Oryzias latipes: one gene and its partner. The protein of the gene in region 2 purifies or fractionates together with the protein of the main gene of each other region. This does not show direct contact. Links are inferred from orthologs where the notes say so. Each region holds a gene or a part of one and is shown on either strand. Other genes may lie near its edges.

The links.
Region 1: the proteins of map3k2 (region 2) and traf7 purify together in Homo sapiens (affinity purification with mass spectrometry; 3 studies listed by BioGRID and IntAct, with this or other methods). This does not show direct contact. The link is inferred for Oryzias latipes from reciprocal best matches to the Homo sapiens genes MAP3K2 and TRAF7.

What each region holds. Positions count from the first base shown.
Region 1 is NC_019866.2:23,013,043-23,024,840, reverse strand, and holds the end of traf7 (E3 ubiquitin-protein ligase TRAF7), read right to left. Parts: intron 11,105-11,798; coding exon 11,031-11,104; intron 10,931-11,030; coding exon 10,882-10,930; intron 10,796-10,881; coding exon 10,668-10,795; intron 9,900-10,667; coding exon 9,817-9,899; intron 9,731-9,816; coding exon 9,691-9,730; intron 9,603-9,690; coding exon 9,486-9,602; intron 9,250-9,485; coding exon 9,127-9,249; intron 8,258-9,126; coding exon 8,138-8,257; intron 7,989-8,137; coding exon 7,857-7,988; intron 5,984-7,856; coding exon 5,864-5,983; intron 5,780-5,863; coding exon 5,765-5,779; 3' UTR 5,036-5,764; downstream 1-5,035. UniProt on the Homo sapiens protein: E3 ubiquitin and SUMO-protein ligase that plays a role in different biological processes such as innate immunity, inflammation or apoptosis. Potentiates MAP3K3-mediated activation of JUN/AP1 and DDIT3 transcriptional regulators.
Region 2 is NC_019860.2:9,899,422-9,911,029, reverse strand, and holds the start of map3k2 (mitogen-activated protein kinase kinase kinase 2), read right to left. Parts: upstream 7,112-11,608; 5' UTR 6,756-7,111; intron 4,269-6,755; 5' UTR 4,251-4,268; coding exon 4,196-4,250; intron 4,013-4,195; coding exon 3,894-4,012; intron 3,809-3,893; coding exon 3,768-3,808; intron 3,693-3,767; coding exon 3,593-3,692; intron 3,507-3,592; coding exon 3,393-3,506; intron 2,585-3,392; coding exon 2,476-2,584; intron 2,115-2,475; coding exon 1,984-2,114; intron 1,628-1,983; coding exon 1,548-1,627; intron 1,463-1,547; coding exon 1,398-1,462; intron 1,293-1,397; coding exon 1,200-1,292; intron 1,118-1,199; coding exon 881-1,117; intron 817-880; coding exon 668-816; intron 583-667; coding exon 451-582; intron 374-450; coding exon 244-373; intron 176-243; coding exon 1-175. Other genes in the region: sumo1 (small ubiquitin-related modifier 1), read left to right, coding at 8,938-8,949, 9,324-9,398, 9,651-9,728, 10,541-10,612, 10,689-10,757. UniProt on the Homo sapiens protein: Component of a protein kinase signal transduction cascade. Regulates the JNK and ERK5 pathways by phosphorylating and activating MAP2K5 and MAP2K7. Plays a role in caveolae kiss-and-run dynamics.

The DNA of each region.
Region 1 (11,798 bases), on a different chromosome or scaffold from region 2:
CTAGCGTCATGTTCCAGACGCAGTTTTTACGTCCATCCCAGTAAAAATGTCAGCATTTTTCTACCGTTTGATTCCCAGGGAAGAGCAGCTGCGTGCTGTGGAGCATGTCCGTGTTTGGTCACATGTTCACCTACCTTCCATGATCCTGAATGAAGTTAGTAAACCCTGAACATGCAAAGTTAGCAGACGTCAGCATTCATCTGTTTCTTTCGCAGGATGATGGAAAATAGATTAAAAGCTAGCAAAGACGATTTCACCTTTACATGTCTACGAATTCTAGATTTTCATCAGCAAGAGGAAAACTATGAATTTGGTCACGCATTCATATTAGTATTTTACTCTCTATACTCTAAAATAACAGTGAGCGTTAATCAAAAACACTGTTTTGTGTTTAGTGGGTCAAAAGATGTGTAGGTGACTTAATGAGCATCAGGGCAAACATGATGCTTCTACCGCCATGCTTGATCCTGGGATCCATGTTTTTTTAGGGATGCCACTTTCTTAACAATTCTGTTCAAACATCCATTCTGTTTAGTTTTGATGTACGATTTGTGTTTTACAAAAAGTAAAATTCCGACATTTTTAATTTGCTAATAAGCAAGTAATAAAGAAGAAACATCTTTACGAGGGCCTGACGTAATGCAAAAAAACAATCAATAATACATTTAGCACAACACAGGAGGCGGTAGGCGGGAGGTCTGCAACGGTTGACTTTCACCACTGTTCGGTTCAATGGATCAACGTACGACTCAGTTTTAAACCAAGAACTGTGGCATCCCTAATGTTTATGACCTTGATACCTCCCTTCATAATCAACATTTAGGTTTTGTTGAGTTAAACCCCATTTGATAATCTGTCAGATTAGCTCTGCCTCTCGTCTTAATCTGTGTTTCTAAAGGTTTAGTAACAGTCATTTTGAAGATCATTCAACGTCAACCTCCTGCACCAGGAATGACTCAGGTTTATGCCACTATTCTGTCCGTTTTTTGATGCTTTTAGATTTGGCGTGTCGCACAATAAAACTTTGGAAAGTCAGACTCTCAAGTCGGATCGGCATAAAGCTCAGGAGGTTTCAACAGCACATGCAGTTTTGAGAAAAAAGGGATTGAAGTCGCACTCGCCCCCCTGTTTTGTCATGACAATCTATCACCACTCTCATCAGCATCACCGTGGCAACCGCAGGACGTCTCCACGAACGTTTGCCACTGCCACGTAAAAAGGAGAAAGGGGAAAGTTGGGATGGAGTTATCAGTCATGGAGATCTGTGAAGCCTGGTGTTGTTTGCTTTGTTTCGTGTACTAAATGATAAGTTGGTGTAATGTTCCTGTATTTAATTAGCTTCTCAACCCGTTCAGAAAATAAAGGGTTTCACAGTCTCATTTGCAGCCAAACGCCACATATTTATCAATAAATAATAATTCAGAGCTTTGGTATTTAAATTCTGATCACATAGAGATTCTATATATATGGATATTTGCCAAAAGTAAAAATAGGAAGTGTATTTATGATGTGTTTGTTATCCTGAAGAGTATTTTTCAAGGTAAACAGATCTAATCTAGGTGTTGAATCAGTTGCTTCTCCTGCTTAAGTGGTCTAAGCTAAAGAGTCATTGTAGGATACCATCATGGAATATTTCATTGTGTAATTTCTTTTTTTTTTTTCATATTTATTTCTCTGCCTACATGTGTCCAGGTGTGGCAATGTGTAAAACTTGTTCACTCTAATGCATTTTTTTGTATTGTTTGAATTCTTTTCTTTAAAATGTGCCTTGCTTTGTGATTTTGGCCTGACTTCAATACAGTAGATGGGTATGAACAAAAATGGCGGATCCTTCATTTTCTCTTTTGTGGTCCAACTCGATGTAGTTTTTGGCTTTCAGTCATGTTGGCGCCCCACTGGCAGACTTGGAGGAATATATATGGAAATACAGAATTTTTAGAAACTGCAGAGCCCTGGACATGACATTGTTTCCAAAGATTACTAATTTATGGCCACAAAATGCTAATTTGTGTAAAGTAGTTAGTATCTCGTGCCCACAATATGTTACCTTGTGCTACTATTAATATTTTGAGGCCACAGATAAGCATTTTATTTGCATTTTGTGCATACAAAATACTAGTTACTATCTTGTGCACATAAAATAGTAACTTGTGTGCACAAGTTGCATTCTGTGAGCACAAATGACTATTTTGTAAGTAAAATTTAACATTTTGTGAGAATAAATTAGCATTTTGTGAAAACCAATTAGCATTTTGTATTCACAAATTACTACGTCGGAGTAAAAGTTAGCAGTTTGTGTGCACAAATTGCTATCTTGCACGTACAAATTAGCATTCTGTGCAAACAAATTAGCATTTTGTTGCACTAATTAGCTTTTTGTGAGCACAAATTACCATCTTGGAGTAAAAGTTAGCATTTCGTGCAAAGAAATTAGCATTTGGTGCGCACAAATTCATATCTAGTGTGTACCGACTAGCATTTTTTTCCACAAATTACCTTCTTGTCTTATCAGAGATTTTGACGTCATGGAGGTTAAAACATGGCTGCCAAAACAGGTTTAGCAAACATGATGAGAAAAGGCAAAAGCTTTGGACTGACGTAGGGCCTCAGTACTGTATACAGTCCATCTTTCTACTATTTAACACACTACAGTCAAATCATTTCAACTACGTGAAATGAACAGAGTAAAATCCGAATTAGGCAGAAGCGAGCCCAGAGTCAGCAGGAAGCTGATGTCTGTAATTGGTTAAAGGCTTTTCAAGGTATAGAGGCTTTACGAGGGGAAGTATGTGGAAAATGGTCAAATGTAGACTATAGTTCTCCATTTCTTCATTCTGGGGTTATTTTATCAGCTTTTAGTGAATAATATGACTCATAATTTATACAACAACAAATATTGACATGAGTGGGATAGGAAAGAAAATTTTCATGCCCAGCAACCCCGCCCACAACTCAGAGATACATTTCTAATGAACTCCTGTCGCTCTGCAGACACTAGGTTCTAGAAAACGACACTTAAAAAAAAAGAATTTCCCCAAAACGGCATAATCATAAACAAAAGACCACTGGTGATGAAGACCAAATGGTCATCATCTTTACTGAGATGACGCAACAACTGCAAACAGCTTTTCTTACTTCTACCATTGAGCCTTGCTCTTATGATGCTCATTTTAAACCCTATAGTTTATCTGAAAATGGTGGAGATGATTTGGGACGTTTTGTCTTGAGCCGTTTTCAGTTGAAGTTCTTTAGGCCAGTGAGTAAAATGAATCTCGACCTCGTGGAGTTGGTTTAATGGAAATCAGGATTGATTGGAGGCAAACGAGAAGTTCCACTCCAACAACGAGACTTATTGCATTCACATTTGTATTCCCTTCAAAGGAGTAGAAAAGAATACTTATTCATATTGATTCTATTTTTTCCTTTGGGAATTTGCATGTTATGTATAGCAAACATGCTTGTAATTGTGTTTTTTCACAAAGAGATGAGCTTTAACCCACACCTAAATTCAGATGCTCTGGTAATTAAAATGATCAGTGGATTATGTAGATTAGGCCCAGATTAAAACATGAGAACAATCTGCTAAACTAAAGTCTTTTGTCCGTTCTTAAGATATTATATGGCATTTAAAGACCCGCTCTGATGAGAACTGGGTTTCAAGTGTTTTAAACATCTTTTTCTGATGATGGTGGTAAGTAAATTAGAGATGAAAAAATACCGTTTAAAAAGATTGTATTTGTGATGTAGAAACTAGGCCACAAGCTCTATTCTGATCACGAACTCTCTAAGAACGGATCCATAAAAGTCTTTGTTTTCCTTGTCAGAGCTGGAATCAGGATCTAAACTGCATGTGCAGCTGGATAAATGTGGTATCAGACGTGTTACGGGTTAAACCCCAAGTTGGGGGACCTAATGAGGGGCAGGCCCAATAGCTGGGGTTGTAATGGGTCCAGGGCAGTTGTTTGGGGTTTTAGCGGGTCCAGGGTGGTTGTGTAGGGTTTTAGCGGGTCCCGTCTAGTGGGTCTTGATGACCCAACTCCCAATGTTAAAGTGCCTAGGATAGCACAAGGGTTGAGAGCAACAACATGACAATAACTACGATATTGATCGCCATTTTTGTTGCCTTGGTAATGTTAGTTTGAGGGTGTTAGGGTCTGTGAGCTAGCGGCAGAGTTTAATAGATGGATGTTGGGAAGTATGGGCGGGCTTGCTCCACGCCAACAGTCCTTTTACAACTCACAGGTGAATTTATAAAGAACTACTGGGTGGTGATGGGGTGCTCTCCTAGGGCGGGGCCCAGCGTTGGGGCCCTCCCAACGCGGCAGGGGCCTGGACTCTCCGTCCCCCTGTGACTCCCTGCTCTCTGGGTTTGGGGGCCCGTGCGGTGGTCCTGCTGGCAGATGCGATTGTGGGTGTTGGGGGGGTCCTGGCTGCCGCGGCGGGGGTCTTGGTGTGGGGATGACCGACCGGGCACTCTCCTTAGAAGAACAGAAACTCTCGAGCACAGGAGCCGTCTCCCCATTGCACAGGTGGTTTGCGTGACTGAATGAAACATTTCACGTGTTGGTCTGTGGGCATACGTATGCGTGTGAACATTGGCTGTATTGTGTACATGTTTGTATGTGAACATTTTTGGAGCCAACAGGTATGTTTGTTACATTTGAGTGTGTGTGTGGACAGGCTCCGCCCCTTTTAGATTTGATTATAAACATACAGCAACTTGTTACTTTATGCTGCTTCACAGTTCTACCGCGCACCCCCCCCCCCCATCTCTCTCTCTCTTCTTCCCACCTTTACTTTTCCCTCTAATCCAACAAAAACATTGCTGCAAATATGAGCAAGATGAACAAAGTTTAGTCTAAACTACAAAAGGGGTTTATTCAAATATACACCTAGTGTGTCCAAATATTCAGAACCCCTGCTGTTAAAGTAAAATGTGTCCAACACGTGAGGCTATCAGCTCCATCTGTTTGCTCAGCTGCTGGAAAGGACAAGTTTTCAGCTGACACACACTCACACACTCACACACACAACAAAGTGTACAACATTTTTATTGATCAAGGACCAACTGCATCTTAAATTACTACAAGTATATAAGATGTTACTGAAAGTTTAGGTGGGGTGTAACTCTTCATCGTTTTCTTTCCCTGTTCTTCCTGTGAACTGGGTTTTAAAAAAAGAAACAGTAAAAAACCTGGTTCAGCCAAAACGATTAACACCATGAAGATCTTCAGTCTTCTTACGCTTCCTCAGAAATTTGTTCATATTTTCAACCCAATATGGGTCCAGAAACCGGCGGAGGACTTTGCGGGGACCGTTTTCGCTTTAGCTGTTTGTCGGGTTCAGAACCCTGGAGTGAACCAATTGGTCGTTTCCCCTCAGAGACGGGTCAGGAGCGCCGCCCAGCTTCCTGTCCGGGGAGTGAGGAGGGGGGGCGGAGCGTGGAAACTTTTATACACAAGGTTACAACCGTTTGACGGCTCTGGGTGGAGCTCAGTGGAACCGCCACTGCAGAGGTTTAGCGGCTTCTCCGAGGAGTTTTTAGAAAAGACGTAACGCCGAGGACACGACAAAGCGCGAGTGTTAAAAGCTCAGAGGAGAATCACAACACTGATATCTGCAAAACTATAAAAGAACAAACATGTGGTGTCAAAGCGACAACCTTTCCATCACTGAGCTCAGTGCTCCAGGCGTCGTCTGCAGAGTCACGGCCACGCCGACGGCTTCAGAGCGCCCGAGTCGGCCTGACGCCCGCTGAGCCTCTTCAGCAGGTCCACACCTGGAACGGAGAGGAGACACGGTCACATGACTGACGCAGAAGCAGCTCCATCGGCTGACGGTGGTGGGCGGCGGCCCCCCCAACCTTGACGGTGCTGTCAACGGCTCCAGAGAAGAGGCGTCCTCTGGACACGGCCAGCGCCGTCACACTGCCCTGGTGTCTCAGCAGGGTCTGGGTGCAGATCATGTTGTCCATGCTCCACACCTGAAGAACAGAACAAAACAAGAGGCTTTTTCAGGAAGCAAACAGATTCCACTTTTGATCTCCTCCTCAGTAGTGGACAGATGGTATGGCCTGCCCTCGCCACCCCCTTTTGACCCGCCCTCTCTCCCCTCTGTGCCCCGGCCACCCTGGTCCAAGCTGCACAAGAGAAATTCATAAAAAACAAAAAAAATAACTTTTTTTCACCCTGGTGACCTGACCAGGATGTCCCCTCCCCCACGGGTGGCAGGGATGGGCTCCGGCAGCCCGGTGACCCCAAAAGGGACAAAACGGGTTTAGGAGATGAAACACTTTTTTCAAAATAGCAGCTCTCCCGTTGGTTTTATCTCCATAGCAACCATTTTACACTTTGGTCACCCTAAGGCAGGGGTGGGCAATTATTTTGACTGGCGGGTTACAAAGTTCTAAAATTGGACAGAAGGGCCGAACCAGGAGCAGAAGAGTGGAGTGAGAAAGAAATAACATGGAATCTGGATGAAAACATTTGGATGGAAAATTATATTTTAAAACCAAACATTTTAGAGTTTTTAGGTTAAAACTTTTGTTCTCATTTTAAAGGCAATGGCACCAACGGCTTGATGAACCTCATGTAAAACGTAGAGAAATGCTGCGTTCAGGTGGTGTTTTAATGATCAGAAGAATGAAAAAGAACAAATCTTCCAACACAGCATGGATGCTAGAGCGGAGGCCCCAAACTTTTTCTTGTGAGGCCACAATAACTGTTTTTCTTTTAACTTCTTTTGTCTGTCTTTCATTGTAAAGCCCTATAATAAAGTTTGATTCATTCATGATCCTTTAAATAGAATAAATAACACTATTTATGAAATAAAAAATGACCAAATAACTCTCTCTGTGATTTTCAAAGACAAAAAAGAAAACATCTACTGATACAGTAAAAATAATAATAGTAAATAGTGGATCCTCTGTCGTCATTTTCTCGCTGAGACGTTGAAGCTGCAGCTCCTCACATGTCTCACAGTTTGCAATAAAACTGAGCAGCTGTGTCCTGCACGTCTGTTTCTCATCCAGTAACCACGAAAAAGCTCATTTCTGTGTCTTCTGCTGCAGCTACGCATATATCTGCGTTGCCTTTTCATCAGTATAGAGTTCCCTCGTTTGTTGCAGGAGTTACGTTCCAAAAAGAACCAGTTATGGGTGAAATCCAGAGAGAATGATTACAGACGTTTATGGCAGTGAAACTCCTCACTACTCACTTTCTACACTTTTCTCAGACAGACATGAACATTTTCACCCTTTTCTCTTGTTTAAATTCTCAAACCTTCATAGAAATTAAGTCCAGGAACTTAGAATGAAAACAAAGATCTGATCCATCACAGATTTCTGTAGATCTGAAGAGCTCCACGTTTCTGTACAGGACAGACGGAGGAGATTGATTGACAGGGTCTCCAGCCAATCAGGACACAGAACAGGGTGCGCTGTTTAAAAAAAGCAGTATCATCGCTCTAAAAGAACGAGCTAAACTGGGAAAGATGAACTACGAGGTAGAAAGGAAAGACCGCTCCAGAAGAGAGCTTGACCGCATTCATCTTTTTGACAGTTTCTCCCGCTGTGATGTCATCAATTGGGGGGGGGGCAGGCATTATCCAGAACCTCTCCTGCGGTTCTGGATAATGTGGCGGACAGAAACACAAACATATGGAGCGTTGGTGAATATGAAAGTCCAGAAGCCCAAACTTCCTGGAGCTCTTTTGTGATCATTTTTAGGGGTGTGGAGGTTGTTTTGATTGACAGGTGGGCTGTCCAATGGGTGAACCAACGGGTCAAACTTTGCTTTGCCCCGCCCAAATGCTGTTTTCAGAATGCTGGCCCGGGCCTCTGCGTCAGCGACTCTCACCCTGAGGGAGCGGTCGTAGGAGGCGCTGAACACTTTGGTCTGGTCCGGCGTGGAGATGACGGCCAGCGCGTAGACGGTGCCCACGTGGCCCGTCAGGGTCCGCACCTGCTCTTTGGACTCAATGTCCCACACCTGCAGAGGAAATACATGAGCGTCACCTGCCTGGAGGGAGCGTCTTCACTTCGTACGCGGAGGCTGCTCAGGTTCAAACACAGTGCCTTGCTCAAGGGGAGCAGCAGAACTGAGCGTTGACCCAGCGAACAGACAGGGGGCGCTCTTACGTGGATCAGGTTCTCATAGGTGCCGCAGACGATGTGGTGGTTGGTGACGGCGATGGAGTAGACGCTGCCCCCGCTGGTCTGCAGGACGTGGACGCACTCCAAGGAGCGGATGTCCCAAATCTGACAGACGGGGGGAGACGTTTGTTAGCCGCCACCGCCGCTAATGTATATACCAGCGACCGCGTCAAAATAAAAGCAGCCGAGGAATCAACAATAAAAATAACGTAACTTAATCTATGACAAATTTGATTAAACAGACTGAAAATGAGACGAATGAAGGCAAACATGAATAATGTTAACAGAACAGGTTTCTATTTAGATCAGAGTAAAAAAAAAACGTGTCGACATTTGCTAGTTTTTTTTTTTTTTGGATTGCTTTAAATAGACTGATCTGGTGAGGAAATGGACCGATGTCAGCTATGTGGCAGCTTTCACCATAGCTTACACTTCATTTCCTAAATCCTTCTGAAGAATTGGACTTTTTCTTCTCAAAAGGATTATTTCTGTATTTGCACAGATCAACGATCCTCAGGGATTCAGGATCGTTTACAGAAAAATAACAGAACAGATCTTCTCTCTGTGCCAAACAGACAAACGACGGAGGATCTGGAACCTTCGCCTGTGTGGAAGAAGAGGATCATGGGAAAATGTTCTCAGCTAGTTCAGACAGCAGGAACAACAGGATCTATCCCAGAATTCTACTTCTTCTGTTCCATGTTTTGCTTTTCCTCTTCCTTTTTTTTTCCTGTGACGGATATCCCAGGGATGTTTGGTCCGTCTTCTGTGACTTGTACCTGCAGCAGGTACTGACCTTCATGCTTTCTGGGATGCAGAAACTAACCCCTCCTGTGTGTCTAACAGCATTTGCTCCAAAGCTCTTTCTAAATTGCAGGAAGGATTATAAACATTCAACAGTCATGTTGCATGCTGGGTATTAAAACACTTTTTTTTTAAAAGAAGAGGTGAAATAAATAACTTCCCCCTCATACCTTGATGGTTTGGTAGGAGCCGCTGTACAGGTGGTTCTGGGAGGCCACCAGCGCTCGGACCCAGTGATTGAGACCGGTCAGCTCCTTCTTGAGTTTCAGCTCCGTCCCCACGATGTCCCAAACCTTAAACACATGACAACAGTCCAGCTGTTTACCTTCCATTAGTCTGCGACCATCTGCGACAGAGCCGAGGAGGAACCGGGACAACGCCGGAGGCCGGCGAGGAGTTGGGAGAGAGCGCTGACTCAGAACTATGAAGCAGGGATGCAGACGGAACCTCTGATGCTGTTTATCTTCAGACTTTCTCCCATCATCCTCTCCTCCCCAAACCTTTGCGCTGATGACGACAGCAGACGCACCTTGATGGCTTTAAGGGAGCCGCTGAACAGCATGTTGTGGGAGGAGACCAGCGTGCACACGGGGTTGTCGTGGGCGCGGATGGTGTTGACTTTCTGCAGAGTCTGGATGTCCCACACCTGCAGGCGTAAAACACAGAAAGACGCCGCCCCCGTCAGCCCAGCCGCTCACGTCAAAGGGAAGAGGCGACGCGGCGGGACGACTTACAATGATGGTGCAGTCCGCAGAGCCGCTGTACAGCCTGTTGCTATGGAAACAGAGAGACAGTGGGGTCAACGTCTGGGGGGATGGTTGTTTTTTTATTCTTTAAAGTTGTGGTTTCTGTGGAGTTACCCCTGGATGCACAGAGCCAAAACGATGCCGTCGTGTCCCTCCAGGGTTTTCTGACACTTGTAGGTGGTGCACGTGTCCCACACCTGACAGCAAACAAACAATACATTGAATGGATTGTTTTGATTTGTTTGTATCTGGTTTGTTAAAACGATCAGCATGGACATTGAAGCATATTGGAGGATAGGCGTCTAACAAGCTTCATACGTTTCCGCCTGTTCTTTTTTTTTTATTGTTTGTTTGTTTATATTGTAATATGTAAATACTATAAATGAAAAACTGAAAAAAATGTAAAAAATAATATAGAAAAAAAAAATCATGTGCCTGAATGCATGTGTGTATAAGCGTTAGCATGTGTACGCATGCGCATGTGTGTTTGTGTATGTTCACGTGTTTGTGCGTTTTCCTGTGTGTGTTTCTGTGCATGCAAGTCTGCATACGTGTGTGCGCATGTGTATGTGTGTGCATGCGTTTGTGTGTGGGGGGCACGTGTGCAAGCGGGTGTGAGCATGTGCTTGAGTGTACATGTGTGCATATGTGAATGTGTAAGTGTGTGCATGTGGACGTGTGTGCATGTGGATGTGTTCATGTGTAAGTGTGTGCATGTATTTATGCACATGTGTGCATGAGTTTTTAAGCTTGTAAATGTGTGTGTGCATGAGTTTTTTGAGTTTTGTATGTGAGTGTGTGTGTGTGTGTGTGTGCGAGGGGTACATGTGCAAGTTTGTGTGTGTGTGTGAGTCTGCATGCGTGTGTGTGTCCATCTTTAGACAGTAAACTCTGGTTGTTTGTGAAAAAGCACCAAAAGTTTAAAATAACTGCATAAAACAATCTTTTGTTTGGGGGGGGGTTACCTTAATTGTCTTATCAGAGGAGCCTGAAAACAGCAGGTCTCCGGTGGAGTAGACGCACAGACACCAGACGGGCCCCTGGTGGCCCACAAAGGTCCCCTTACACTTGAAGATCTGCTGTGGATCATAAGCTGCACACAAACATTTCAACAAATGCTGCAAACTGAACTGAATCCAGGTGTGGAAGCACCAGACAGGAGACCAGACAGGAACTCACATCCCAGGATCCCCATGTTGAGTCTGGCGTTGATGTGGGACAGCTCGTCCTGCAGGAGTTACAACCACATGAGCCTTTAGTTTCAGCATCACGAAAGCGCCCCCCGCCTTTCCCGTTTCACGCGCTCCTCCTGGTCAGCGTTCACTTACGTTGAGCATGGAGGCGTCGCGGCGAAACTCCATCAGGTCTTCGCTCAGTTTGCTCTGGTTCTCATCCAACATGTCTGCAAAACACCAGCAGGAAATGAGGGGAGCTGAAGAAGACCTGCACGTTCACCTGAACGCCGAGTTCACTGGATCCGACCTCAGCTCGGCAGACTCACTCACAGCCTAATGCAGCTACACCAAGCAACAGCTTTTTGGGATTTTGGCTAAAAACGGCATAATCAGAGTGAAAAGTGAAAAAACGTTGAAAATAGAACCGAAGAGGATCGGCGTGGACTTTTAGGATGTGAGAGCTCTGTCTGAAGATGGTCGAGTTCTCACAGGATTCTCTTCCAGCTGAATTTTAAAGTTTGGCTGCTCATCCCAGGTTCCAGCCGCTAACATCAATGATGGTGAAGCCGTTCGTCTTTAAACCGATCACAGACAGAGATCTGCTGAGGGATCAGGCACGTGTTCCTCTGGGAGGACTCGGTCTAGGATCCCTGCATGTGAGCAGCAGTTCAAAGTCCCATCAGCTGTCACACACCTAGAACAGGTGACCCCTCCCCTGGGGGAGCGGGGAGCTGCAGACCTTTTGGTGGTTTAACCCCCAAATCCAGCCTCTTAATGCTGAGTGTCAACCAGGGAGGCATTGGGTCCCATTTTTAGAGTGTTTGGTATGACTCGACCTGGATTGGAACTCACGACTTTCCAGTCACAAGGCAGACGCTCTACCACAAGGCCACTGAGCTGAGTTTTCTTCGGAGGAAGCCG
Region 2 (11,608 bases):
ATGTCGGCCTTCCTGCCGTAGCCTTCTCCGCTGATCACCTCCGGGCTCATCCAGTAGGGGGTGCCGGTCACTGACTTGATGCCTGTCCCGGACAGGCAGATGGTCTGCAGCCGCCTGCTGGCGCCAAAGTCTCCCAGCTTCACGTTACCCACGGAATCCCGCAAGATGTTGGCCCCTGGAGCCAGAGGACACCCGCTAAAGTTCTGCCGCGCCCCGCCAGCAACCCCCCCTCCCCCTTCTCACCTTTGATGTCCCGATGCACGATCATGTTGCTGTGCAGGTACGACACACCCTCCAAGATTTGCCGGGTGTATCGGCGCGTTACGTTTTCCGTCAGAGCTCCGTACGACTTCAGCTGGTCTTTGATGGAACCCTGAGACAGGAAGTTGACGGTCAGGGTGGACAAGGACTTCAAATCGATATTTGGGGGAGGGGTTGGCAGATGCTTACTCCAGGCATGTGCTCCATGAAGATGGAGAGCGTCCGCTCCATGGTGTCCCGCAGGCAGCCGTAGTACTGGACGATCCGCTCGTGGCACAGGTTCTTCAGGAGCTGGATCTCGCACTCCAACGCGCTCACCTCCTGAACGAGCCAATCAAAAGCTTGAAATTGCGACGCATACTACCCCTCGCTCCTCCACTAAAAAAAAACAACAACAACCATGCACCTTGCTGGTCTCCGGACTCTCCGGGTCAAACTGGACTTGTTTGACCGCCAACTCCCGCCCAGTGTCTGCGTCGTAGCACAGGTACACCCGCCCAAACGCCCCCTGACCTAGCAGCTTCCCCAGACGCCAGTTGGTGGGAGCACGCGGAGCTGCAAGCACACGGCAGGTTAACCACTGAGCTACAGGTGGGCGGGGCGCGCTCGGTCCACTTACAGCGACTGGGCGGGCTGATGTCCATGACGGAGAGGGTGGGGCCGGCTGAGGGGTTGGCGTTCGACTCGATGTCGCTGCCTCTCCGCCTCCTGGCAGGGCCGGGGGCCTCCTCCAGGTCGGGGGTGAAGACGCTGCTGCCGCTGCTGGTGCTGGGGGACTGCTCTGTGGGACTGAAGCTAACGGGCGAGCGAAAGTTGTGGACCTGCGTCCGCCGAGCTCGCGGAAAGGTCTTCCGCCCTGAAAGCCAAACAAGATACTCTGAATTATTCGTTTCGGTCTCCTCTCTGTTACGAACAGGAGCGAAGGAAAAACACCCCACCATCGCTGTAATCCTGAAGGCCGTAAGGAATGCCGTATCTCCGTGGATACGTCCCTCCTTTCCCGGACTTCTCAAACACGGGAAGGTCGGACTCTGCGGGGGAAAACAGCGGCACAGTTATCACAGAGGTGGAGCCAAGACTAAAGCAAAACAAAACCTTTCTTAATCTTTGAGATCAAAAGCTGTTTCAGGGTTTACCTGGGAAGTCCTGGTGGTTGTCCGGGTAACTCTGAGCTCGAGGCATCCTGGACTTTGGGTATTCCCTGCAACACACCGAAAGGAAAAGTTACTGTGTGTCGGTTTTAAGGCTTCACACCAGGCCTTGAGCTGGAATGTGGAGCCACTCACCCGTCCAGCGGGCTGTCTAAAGACGGACAGCTTCCTGACGCGGAATTCTCCGGACTGCTCATGGATAAGGGATCGAACATCTGAAGGCAAAATAATGAAGAGCTTAAAAAAGTTGGACATATTTGTTTGAAGTTTTCAGACTTCAAACGACCATCTGGTGAACTCTGAACTTGTAGACGTTCTATGAATATTTATTTTGGGGTAATGCGTGCACCTGGCAGCCGTTCTGATGCCTCACAGAAAAAACAAAAACAAAACATCACTTTGAGTTAACTCCAACAGCTAAAACCATAATTTTACTCCCAAAACCTCACAAATTAGGAGCATAGCATCCAAACTGGATTCCAAAATGTTTCCGCACTACGTTGTTGTGCATTTTTCTTTTTGTTGGAAATGTGAAATAATATTAGAACCAAGTTTAAGGCAGAGTCCATACCGGATCCATACTCTCAGGAATGAACTCCCCCTCGCTGTTGATGCTGGTGAAGGAGCCGTTTCGTGCCACCTGTGGGAGAGGATCGGGAATGTATCCTGGGGGAGGGGAGCTTCGGTCGGTCGAGAGGGACCCTGCGGTTGGAAGAGAAACTCAGGTGAGCGGCGATTGGTTGTGTCGCTTTGCACGTCCATTTTTCCATGGAGCGGTTCTCCTCGCTGTGACTTGTTGACGTTTCTCAGACTCAACTGGGGCTTCACCTCAGTCAGGAGTTCCCCAGGGATCTATCTTAAGACTCATTTAATTATTCTACTGTAATAGGTGCAAAAGATGGACCAACATCATATTGAACTCTATGGGTTAGTAATGGGATGGAACCGTGCTGCATCCGACAGTCACAGACTTTTCATCCATCCATCTCTAATCTACATTCACTTTTCTTGGAGGTCATAAGCTGGCCGCCTTTAGCTGATAAAGGAGACAAAAGGAAATCACCTGACTGACCAATCAGAGACAGCATGCTCTTTTTGTCCGCAACCCCAAAGCCCCTGTTATCCAGCTCCTCGTGGGATGGAAGGAGGTCCATGTTGGAGGCGGGGGAGTTCTGGAAAGAAAACAAAAACAGATAAGCCAGACAAACAAAGACCCCCTGCAAACTGGGTGGTCCGACTGGCTTAAAGCTAATGTTTGGAAGCATTTGGGCTTTCTCAATGTTGATGTTCTTATTGGCTTTAAACAACAATCATGCCAAAATTACCAAAATGGATTATTTAGAAACACAATAAACATTTGAAATCATATCACGAAGGGCTGGGTTGGTTGATCAATTAATCCATAAAAGTTGAAATCGCATGACAGCAGCAAAGCCAAAATTTGCTAGCTTGATGCTAACGTATAATGGAATTCCCCATAGGACGGCTAATGCTAACGCTCGGTCGACCTTAAACATATATTGCTGACTAAATGAACAGCTTTATATACTCACAGGTAGGAATTTTCCTGACTATTTTAAGGAAACATTTTCTTTTTAAATTAACCGTTTGTTGCTGAAATCTTCAAACTCAACCCAATCATCGCTCACTTCCATCGGGAGGGGGACAGAAACCGTCCAGGCGCTCTCAGCACGAATGCTGCTTCGACAAGTTCCGTACCTGCGAGTGCTTCCAACAGTCAAAAAACTATTTAGGTTATCATGAGGGGATTATGGCATCAGTCTGAGCTTTGATAGCGAAGGACATGAGGATGTGGTGGATATTAAGGCACACATTTACAGTTAATGAGTCATTATTGTTCTGGGAACTTTTTCATTAAGTGTGAGAATCTTATCATACATCAAAATGTCTCTTTCATTGTACGTCATCTAGGTTTTTTTTTCAAAATAGTTGCTCCCTTGCTAGAAGGAGCAAACAGACCTGCGAGGACATCTGGACTACTAGGAGGATCTTCAGGCTCTTCATGTGGACGCTGCGATCCAGCAGCTCCACGGCCTTGTCCAGGTCATCCTGGGTCACCAGCGGGATCAGTAACTGTGGGAGGGAAGAGCAAAGACGGCGTGGGTGTGGCGCTGCGATTGCTCCGGGCCACCTCTGCGCTTCGGCCTCCGGATCTGTACCTCGTTGTTAGAGTAATGGAGGCCCATCGCCTGACCGAAGGCCACTTTTGCCTTCGCCTTCAGGTCGTCCAGCTTGACGGGTCGAGGAAACTGCAGGATCCTGCGGAGGAGACGAGAGGTCAGGAGGTGGCTGTGCCGTTCGGACCATGTTTGGACCAAAAAGGAAGGGTCTCACCTCTTCTCCCCTCTGAATTCAAACTTCACCCTCACATCGTTCTGAGGAGAATGGAATGAAACTCAGCAACTCCTAACTTCAGTAAAAGTTCAGAAAAAAACCACCTCAGAGGGGTCCGGCGCTCACCTGGTTCTTGGGTGAAGAAGTTTTGGGTTTTCCCAACTCCGACAGGAATGTGGCGGGGCGGCTGGAGCGGTGCAGTTCGGCCAAGTCCTGCATGATCGAGTTCAGGGCCTCCTGCTCATCTGTGGGACGACAGAACCTCCAATTACCATCAAAGATGGTGGGGGGAACAGTGGAACAAACAGACAGCCGGAGGTGAATGCTCTCTGCTTCTAAAGGTCACAAGCCAAAACCTGGAATTGAAAAAACAAAACACAGTGGCTAAAGGATCTCGACAGCCCGCTGCCAACAAAGTGCATACATACCCATCATCATGGCACGGCGGCTGACCCAGGAGGCCAGGAAAGAGGACTCTCCCATCAAAGGGATTCCTTCCTCCTGCAACAGCGGAGCAGAAGTCCCGGCGTGAAGCTTCACAAGTTAAAAGACGGTTATCTTCCGACTGATGAGCAGATTTGGATCTAAAACATCTGTAAATGCTCGCAAATGCTGTTGTGGTATTTAAGTAGCTTTATTTAAAACAGAACGGTGAACGCCGCTATACAGATGAAACTGCTGTATTCATGTTTAGCTCAAATTAAACGTACCAAAACAAAACATTTTTGAATAAAATGGGATGAACAAATACGGACAAAAAACTTTCTTCTCCTTTTACCGTCCAAAATATAAAGAACTAATAGTTTTTCATTAAAAAAAATAAACAAAAGAACGACTGTTTCCAAAATTATTATTAATTAATTAATTCTTTTTGGATAAATTATTCGGTCATTCATCATTTTGACTGATTAATATTTTTTTTAATTGTGCTTCATTTTCAGATGAAAAAGAATTTGTTCATTTTGTAAATGTTTACAGTCCACAAATAATGCTAATGCTAGTTGTAATACTTTGCAATCTGTGATTAATCTGTAATTTTGTGTATTTGGTGCCTTCATGAAAGAAATGAAAAACAAAAACGTCAAAAATAAAAGATTTTAATAATGAAAAATTCCTCTTTGTTCAGCCTAAAATCTGTATATCGTTCTGATTAAAAAAATAAAATGAAAAAGAATCAAAACTTTGTTTTGAAATAGATCATCTGATAAACAAATAATCTGGATTAAATAAAGTGAAGTTTTGGGGGAAAAAATTGGACTGATTTAATACGCGGGCAGTAAAAGTCACATGTTCAAATACCATTTTTTTATCTACACATTTGATTATTTCAAAATGTTGCATTTTGCAATTTTTTTTTAAAGATAGAAGTATCTACATCCCCATAAACGTGTTTTGTAAAGCATTTAGTAAGGTTTACTAAGCTTGTGTCCGAATTCCCTCCCTAACTACTAACAAACTATATAGTGCGGCACTATGTAGCGCCCTGAATTTTAAAAGTAATTCGAACACCATGCTCAAAACTTTTTTATTTTTTAACGGCAGACATGACATAATCGATTTCACAAAGTCAAAATCTAATTGATATGAGCGCTTTACGACGATTATTTATGAGTCCACTGTCTTCCGAAGATAAAAGGTTGATGATTTATTTAAAATAAAAACATTTAATTACATTTTTTTGGGGCAAAAATTGTTCCGATGGAATGCATTGTGGTCTATATTCACCGATCTAATGAGCATCGATGCACACTGGTTTTTCACAGAGACTTCTGGGAAATCTCTGGGGGCACTCGATTTTGGAATTGTAGATCCGGACAGCACTACAAAAGGGCGAACGCACTATGTAGGGGTTAGGGTGGGAATTCAGACACAGCATAAGTCACTACAGGACCACTGAAGGACATTTTATAGATAGAATTCTCTGCATAGAATAAAGTTATTTATTGCAATCTTCTATTTCTCCTACTCTTTTTTTTATTTTTTCCCCTTAAACTCCATGTGATGAAGTCAACATCCTCCCCATGGCAATCCAACACAAAGGGCAAGTTCACATGGCTAAAGTTAACTTTACTGTCAGCGTTTCCACGGCAACAAGACTGAGCTTACCCAAATATCTGCCAGACTGGTTCTCTTTTGACCCCAGTTTGGTTGATATAAGATGATCACCTCATTCATAGCTTTTCGTCACATTTCACAATTCATTTAACTTAAGGAACTACCACATAACCCAGAAAAAAAACACCTGACCATCTTTTGTCATTTTGTTGGTCTGAGCAATAAAGTTATTTTAAACAGGAAAAAATAAGAATAAGCATCATGCTAGCTAACCGAACGCGTGTTTGTATGGCTTGACATAACAGATGTCATGTAAACACTGCGAATAATAACTGGTTTTATCATCAACCCTCTCTGCTGTTATAAGGGGAAACTCGTGCTATGGCTGTGCTAACACCATGGCAACAACATGCAGCATTCCTTAGCTAAACATCAAAGGAAAGAGTTTAATTTCGTGACATTAAGCATAGCGTTAAAGCTCAGCTAACATGGTGTAAACACTGCTAAGAAACTTGTGATCAACATCTATTTATTGGGGCAAAGCTAAAACCAGAAACACCGAAACTGCGGCTGTTTTTACTGGATAACAAGCTAGCTGTGAATTTCCAAGTTAGCTTGAATTGTCCCGGAAGCTAACAACTGTTGCTAGCTTTATTTTGACATTTCATTGCGCTGTGACAGCGCACCCTTTGCGATTTGCTTTCGTTTGGACATGCAAACACAACAACAGCATGCGTGAACCCGATGGAGGAAGCGCAGCGGCTGCGTGTAGAACCAGTAGCTGTCAGGCCAGGGAAGTTGTTGTCAAGCTAATGCTAACAGCTAGCCGCAGAGATCATCGAAACTCGTCGGGTCAACACTGGCGTTAACAAAACACAACAGAGCCAACCACCGAGTCATTTCAAGCGACATTCATCTGTCATATAGTCTCACCTGTGGGTTGTTTGCACCGCGGTCCAACTACTCATCCACACGGCCGGTGACAGGAGCCCCGGGCCCTGCGGAGAGTCGCTGGGAGGAAGCAGAAGTTTGGCAGTCCGCTCTTAACTTCACCCCGAGTCCCGCTGGGCCACGACGACGAGGCCCGACGGCCGTCGGTTTATCCCGCACTTTCCGCGTCTGTGACCAAGACGACACGGTCGTCCAGGAACGCCTTTCCGTGTCTGTGCGCGACTGAAGGGCCAATTTAATCGACACCTCTCATTTCGTTGCACTTTACACCTTGGTTAACAGTGGCTCGGCTCGCCGTTGACCCTGGAGTTAAATCAAGCTTCATGAGAAAACACAATTCCTTATAACCGGAAGTACTTCAGTGCACCTACAAAAGTAAAAGCTTAAAGTGGGTTTCCTAATAAACATTGGCTTATTTATTTTACTTTGACAAAACCTCAACGGAATTAAGACTGCATTTAAACAAACTTCAATAGATGTGGGATCCTCGACTTCTAAATTTGTTTTGTTTTTTTTTAAAGAATGTCTACTATAAACTCTGCCATTCCAGAGTGATGGGGGGGGGGGGGGGCTTAAAAATGCCTTGTAAAAATCTAAAACAACAAGAGTATTTTAATTGACATTATATTAATTATCAACATGTGAAAAGTCTCTAATAAACTATGATTCTTCAAAGTTAGAATATTGAAGATTACATCAAATCAAACTTTATTTATATAGCTCTTTTCCTACAAAAGCACAACCGAACGTGCTTTGCACCAATACAAAATAAATAAATAATATAAAAACAAACACGAAAACTATATATACATTTAAAAAACGCCTCTCTCACCCTCCGCGGGTGGTTTCTCCTCCAAGCTCGGGTCCTCTACCAGAGGCCTGGGAGCTTGAGGGTCCTGCAGTATCTTAGCTGTTCCTAGCACTGCGCTTTTCTGGACTGAGAGGTCTGAGGTCTTTCCAGGGATCTGTTGTAGCCACTCCTCCAGCTTGGGGGTTACTGCCCCGAGTGCTCCAATTACCACAGGCACCACTGTCACATTCACTTTCCATGCTTTCTCCAGTTCTTCTCTGAGTCCCTGGTATTTCTCCAGTTTCTCATGTTCCTTCTTCCTGATGTTCCCATCGCTTGGCACTGCCACATCCACCACAACGGCTTTCCTCTGTTCTTTATCCACCACTACAATGTCTGGTTGGTTCGCCATTACCATCCTATCAGTCTGGATCTGGAAGTCCCACAGGATTTTTGCCCTCTCATTCTCTACCACCTTCGGAGGTGTTTCCCATTTTGACCTTGGGGTTTCCAGTCCATATTCTGCACACATGTTCCTGTATATTATTCCAGCTGCTTGATTGTGGTGCTCCATGTATGCTTTCCCTGCCAGCATCTTACACCCTGCAGTTATGTGCTGGATTGTTTCAGGCGCTTATTTGCACAGCCTACACCTTGGGTCTTGTCTGGTGTGGTAGATCTGAGCCTCTATTGCTCTGGTGCTCAGGGCTTGTTCCTGAGCTGCCAGGAGGAGCGCATCAGTGCTGTCCTGTAGGCCAGCCCTCTCTAGCCATTGGTAGGACTTCTTGATATCAGCCACTTCAGTTATGGTCCGGTGGTACGTCCCATGCAGGGGTTTGTCTTCCCATGAGGATCTGTCCTCCAGCACTGTATCCTCTGCTCTCCATTGCCTGAGACATTCACTGAGCACACTGTCGGCTGTCGACTGTTTCATCCTCTCTCTCTCTCTCTCTCTCTCTCTCTCTCTCTCTCTCTCTCTCTCTCTCTCTCTCTCTCTCTCTCTCTCTCTATATATATATAGTTATTTATTAAATTATCATAAAATGCTATTTTTTAAGCCCATGTTAAAAATATATAAATTTAATCTAAACATATATATTGCATTTGAATATTGAACAGGAGTAAAGACTTCATAATACTGGAAAAGGCAAGGTTTTTGTATGAGTGTGTGTGTGTGTGTGCGCGCGCGCGCTTTTCTTATGGAGACAATCCGCTACAAAACAAATTCCTTCACGCGACTTTTATTTTGAACAGCCCTGCGTCACTTCCGTTTGATGTCGCATTCCTCACAACATAAAGCAAGAGCCACCGCTAAAAGCTAACGCTACACCTTGAAGGGATTCCCTCCCCCTCCCGCACACAGTCAGGATAAACATGTCAGACACGGTAAGAAAAAGAACGTTGAAGAGTTCGAATGATTTTCTGTCAACACTTTACTAAGAAATCGATAATGTGTTTGTTATGGACGCTGCCTCGTACGTGATTATCTAACAACATGCTAACCGTTAGCTGTTCTAGCTGCAGGCCTCTGACTGAACTTAGCGATTTTTTTTTACCCTCCACGTGAGCTTTTGTGTAGTTTTTTGAGATTTTTTTTTGGGGGGGGGGTCAGAACTGGTGCTGGCGGGACCGAACCCACACTCGTGTCTATGGTGGATGTTCTCTGTGTTCGTGGAACCCGCGGAGTAAACAGACGGGCCTTCCTCGAAAGCGTGCTAGCGGTCGCATCATGTAGCAATGTTTTGTGATGTTTCTGTCAGGAGACGAAACCTTCCAATCAGGACGGAGGCGACAAGAAAGATGGAGAGTACATCAAACTAAAAGTGATCGGTCAGGTAGGTTGTTTTTGTGTCTCTGCTTTTGTTGTCACTACTGTCTGCATTTAGAAATAAACCGTATTCTACTCCATTTCAAATAAAGTTATGGCACGTGGTGGTGTCTCTATTATTGTTTATAGAAGGCTATTATTTTTGGTCAATGATTCTGCCAATTCTTTATCATTTACAGATGTATTCGTTTTAATGCTGGAAGTTGTTATTGTTTTTGAGCTGCATCACCTTTTTGTGTGTGTCCGTTTCTGCCCACAGGACAGCAGTGAAATCCACTTCAAGGTGAAAATGACCACACATCTAAAGAAGCTGAAAGAGTCTTACAGCCAGAGACAGGTATGAAGAGGAAGACGCATCGCCACTTTTCCAATGACAGCCTTCGCAGATCCATCCAAATGCAGTTCCTTATGGTAGAACACGCCATTATTTAAAAAAAAGATAACTCTGATCATCTTTTGATCTATTGCAAAAAATAAAAAGTTCCTAGTGATTTTTATTTATTTTTTTGACACGCTCTCCCGCTAGCTTACTAAGACTCCCAAGCTAATATTAGCAGTGCAACAAAAATGGCGAGCAATATCGGAGCTATCCAGCTGCACAGTTTGGATCCGGATGCTCGGACGAGGAAAATAAAAAAAAGTTACACGAGTCTATTTGTCTGCAAGGGAGCCTTGTGGCTTGCCGTAGTAGCTTTGGAATCATACCTGCAACCTTTTTCCAACTAAGTTTAATTTTGTCTGCTCCTGATTCACAACGATTTTAAATATAAAAAAAAAATAACCCAATTTTAAATGTAATTTTAAGCTTAATTTTCTTTAACCCTTGTGCTATCCTAGGCCCTTTAACATTAGGAGTTGGGTCATCTAGACCCACTAGACAGTGCGCTTAACCTTTCTTCTTCAATGATTTGTGATCTTCACTGGTGTCCATGGATTACATGAAATCTTTCCACTTTTGTCATGGTAGGGAGAACACGTCAATGTAAGGGTGGGGTCATCTAAGATAGCATAAGGGTTACACCTAAAAGCTCGTCTATGTAATCGTTACTCGTGCTCCTAGCGCCTCGCGGCGGCGTTCAAGGAGAGCTGATTGAAGGAAAAATAAAAATCTCCTAATGGTCTAACAGCAGAGGATGACGTTTCTTTCAGGGAGTCCTGGCGAGCACGCTACGGTTTCTTTTTGAGGGACAGAGAATCGCAGATAACCAAACCCCAAAAGAGGTAAGCGACACTCGCAAGAGCGAAAACCAAGCACTAGTGGTCACTAAGGTTTGTGTTTTCTTCTGTTTTTTTATAGCTGGGCATGGAGGATGAGGACGTCATCGAAGTTTATCAAGAACAGACCGGCGGACTTTGGAATCATTAAAGCCACAATTTCTGATGTTTTTTTTTCTTCTTTTTTTTCCCCTTTTATTCATGTTTTTTATCATTTGGTTTTGTATGTATGTATGTATTTCTGTTAAGTTTCAAACCATCTGAATCAAAAAAGCAAAAGGACTCAATCAGGGCTTCCATGTGTGCGGTCGGGGAGGCGGACAGACCGAGGACTCGAACCTGTGGCTCTGCCGTCGGAGGACACTCTAAGATTTTTACCGGCAACCATTTCGCTTTCGTGTTTTAAATTTTTATTTTATCAACCTTGCTGGAATGATGTGCTTTTGCAGGAAAATGGTTTTTAGGAGCTTCTTCCTCCCCAAAATGTTTTTTAAAATTGTCTCATAGAGGAAATATGTCAGATGGCATTCTGGGTAAGTGCGGTTACAGAAACCGTAAAAAGAAACCGATCAGAAGCATACCAGAGCGGCATGCTTCTGATCTTTCCATCTATTCAAAACAAAAAAAGTTGTTTTCCTGGAACGGACCAAAGCGTCTGTCCAAATGAAGGGGGGCGGGGCTAAACGAGGGAGCAGGTCCATTTCCTGTTGATCTATTCCACTCTCAGATGAGGTTGGGTCCTTCTTTTCTCCGGGTCGCCAAGTCGAGTGTTGGATCAATAAAGCAGAACCCGTTGCCCCCCCTCCCCTTCATCTCCCCTAAACTTCAGCTGCAGAACCGACCGAGGTGGAACCGTTCTTTGCACAGAACTTTGAAGAACTTTTCGTTAAGTTTTTCTGTTGATTGGTTAGAGGATTCGACAGTCTGCAGATAATGTGCCATCATTTATGCAGAACTCAATTTCTACAAAATAACCTTCCCACATGACACTTTAAAAAAAAA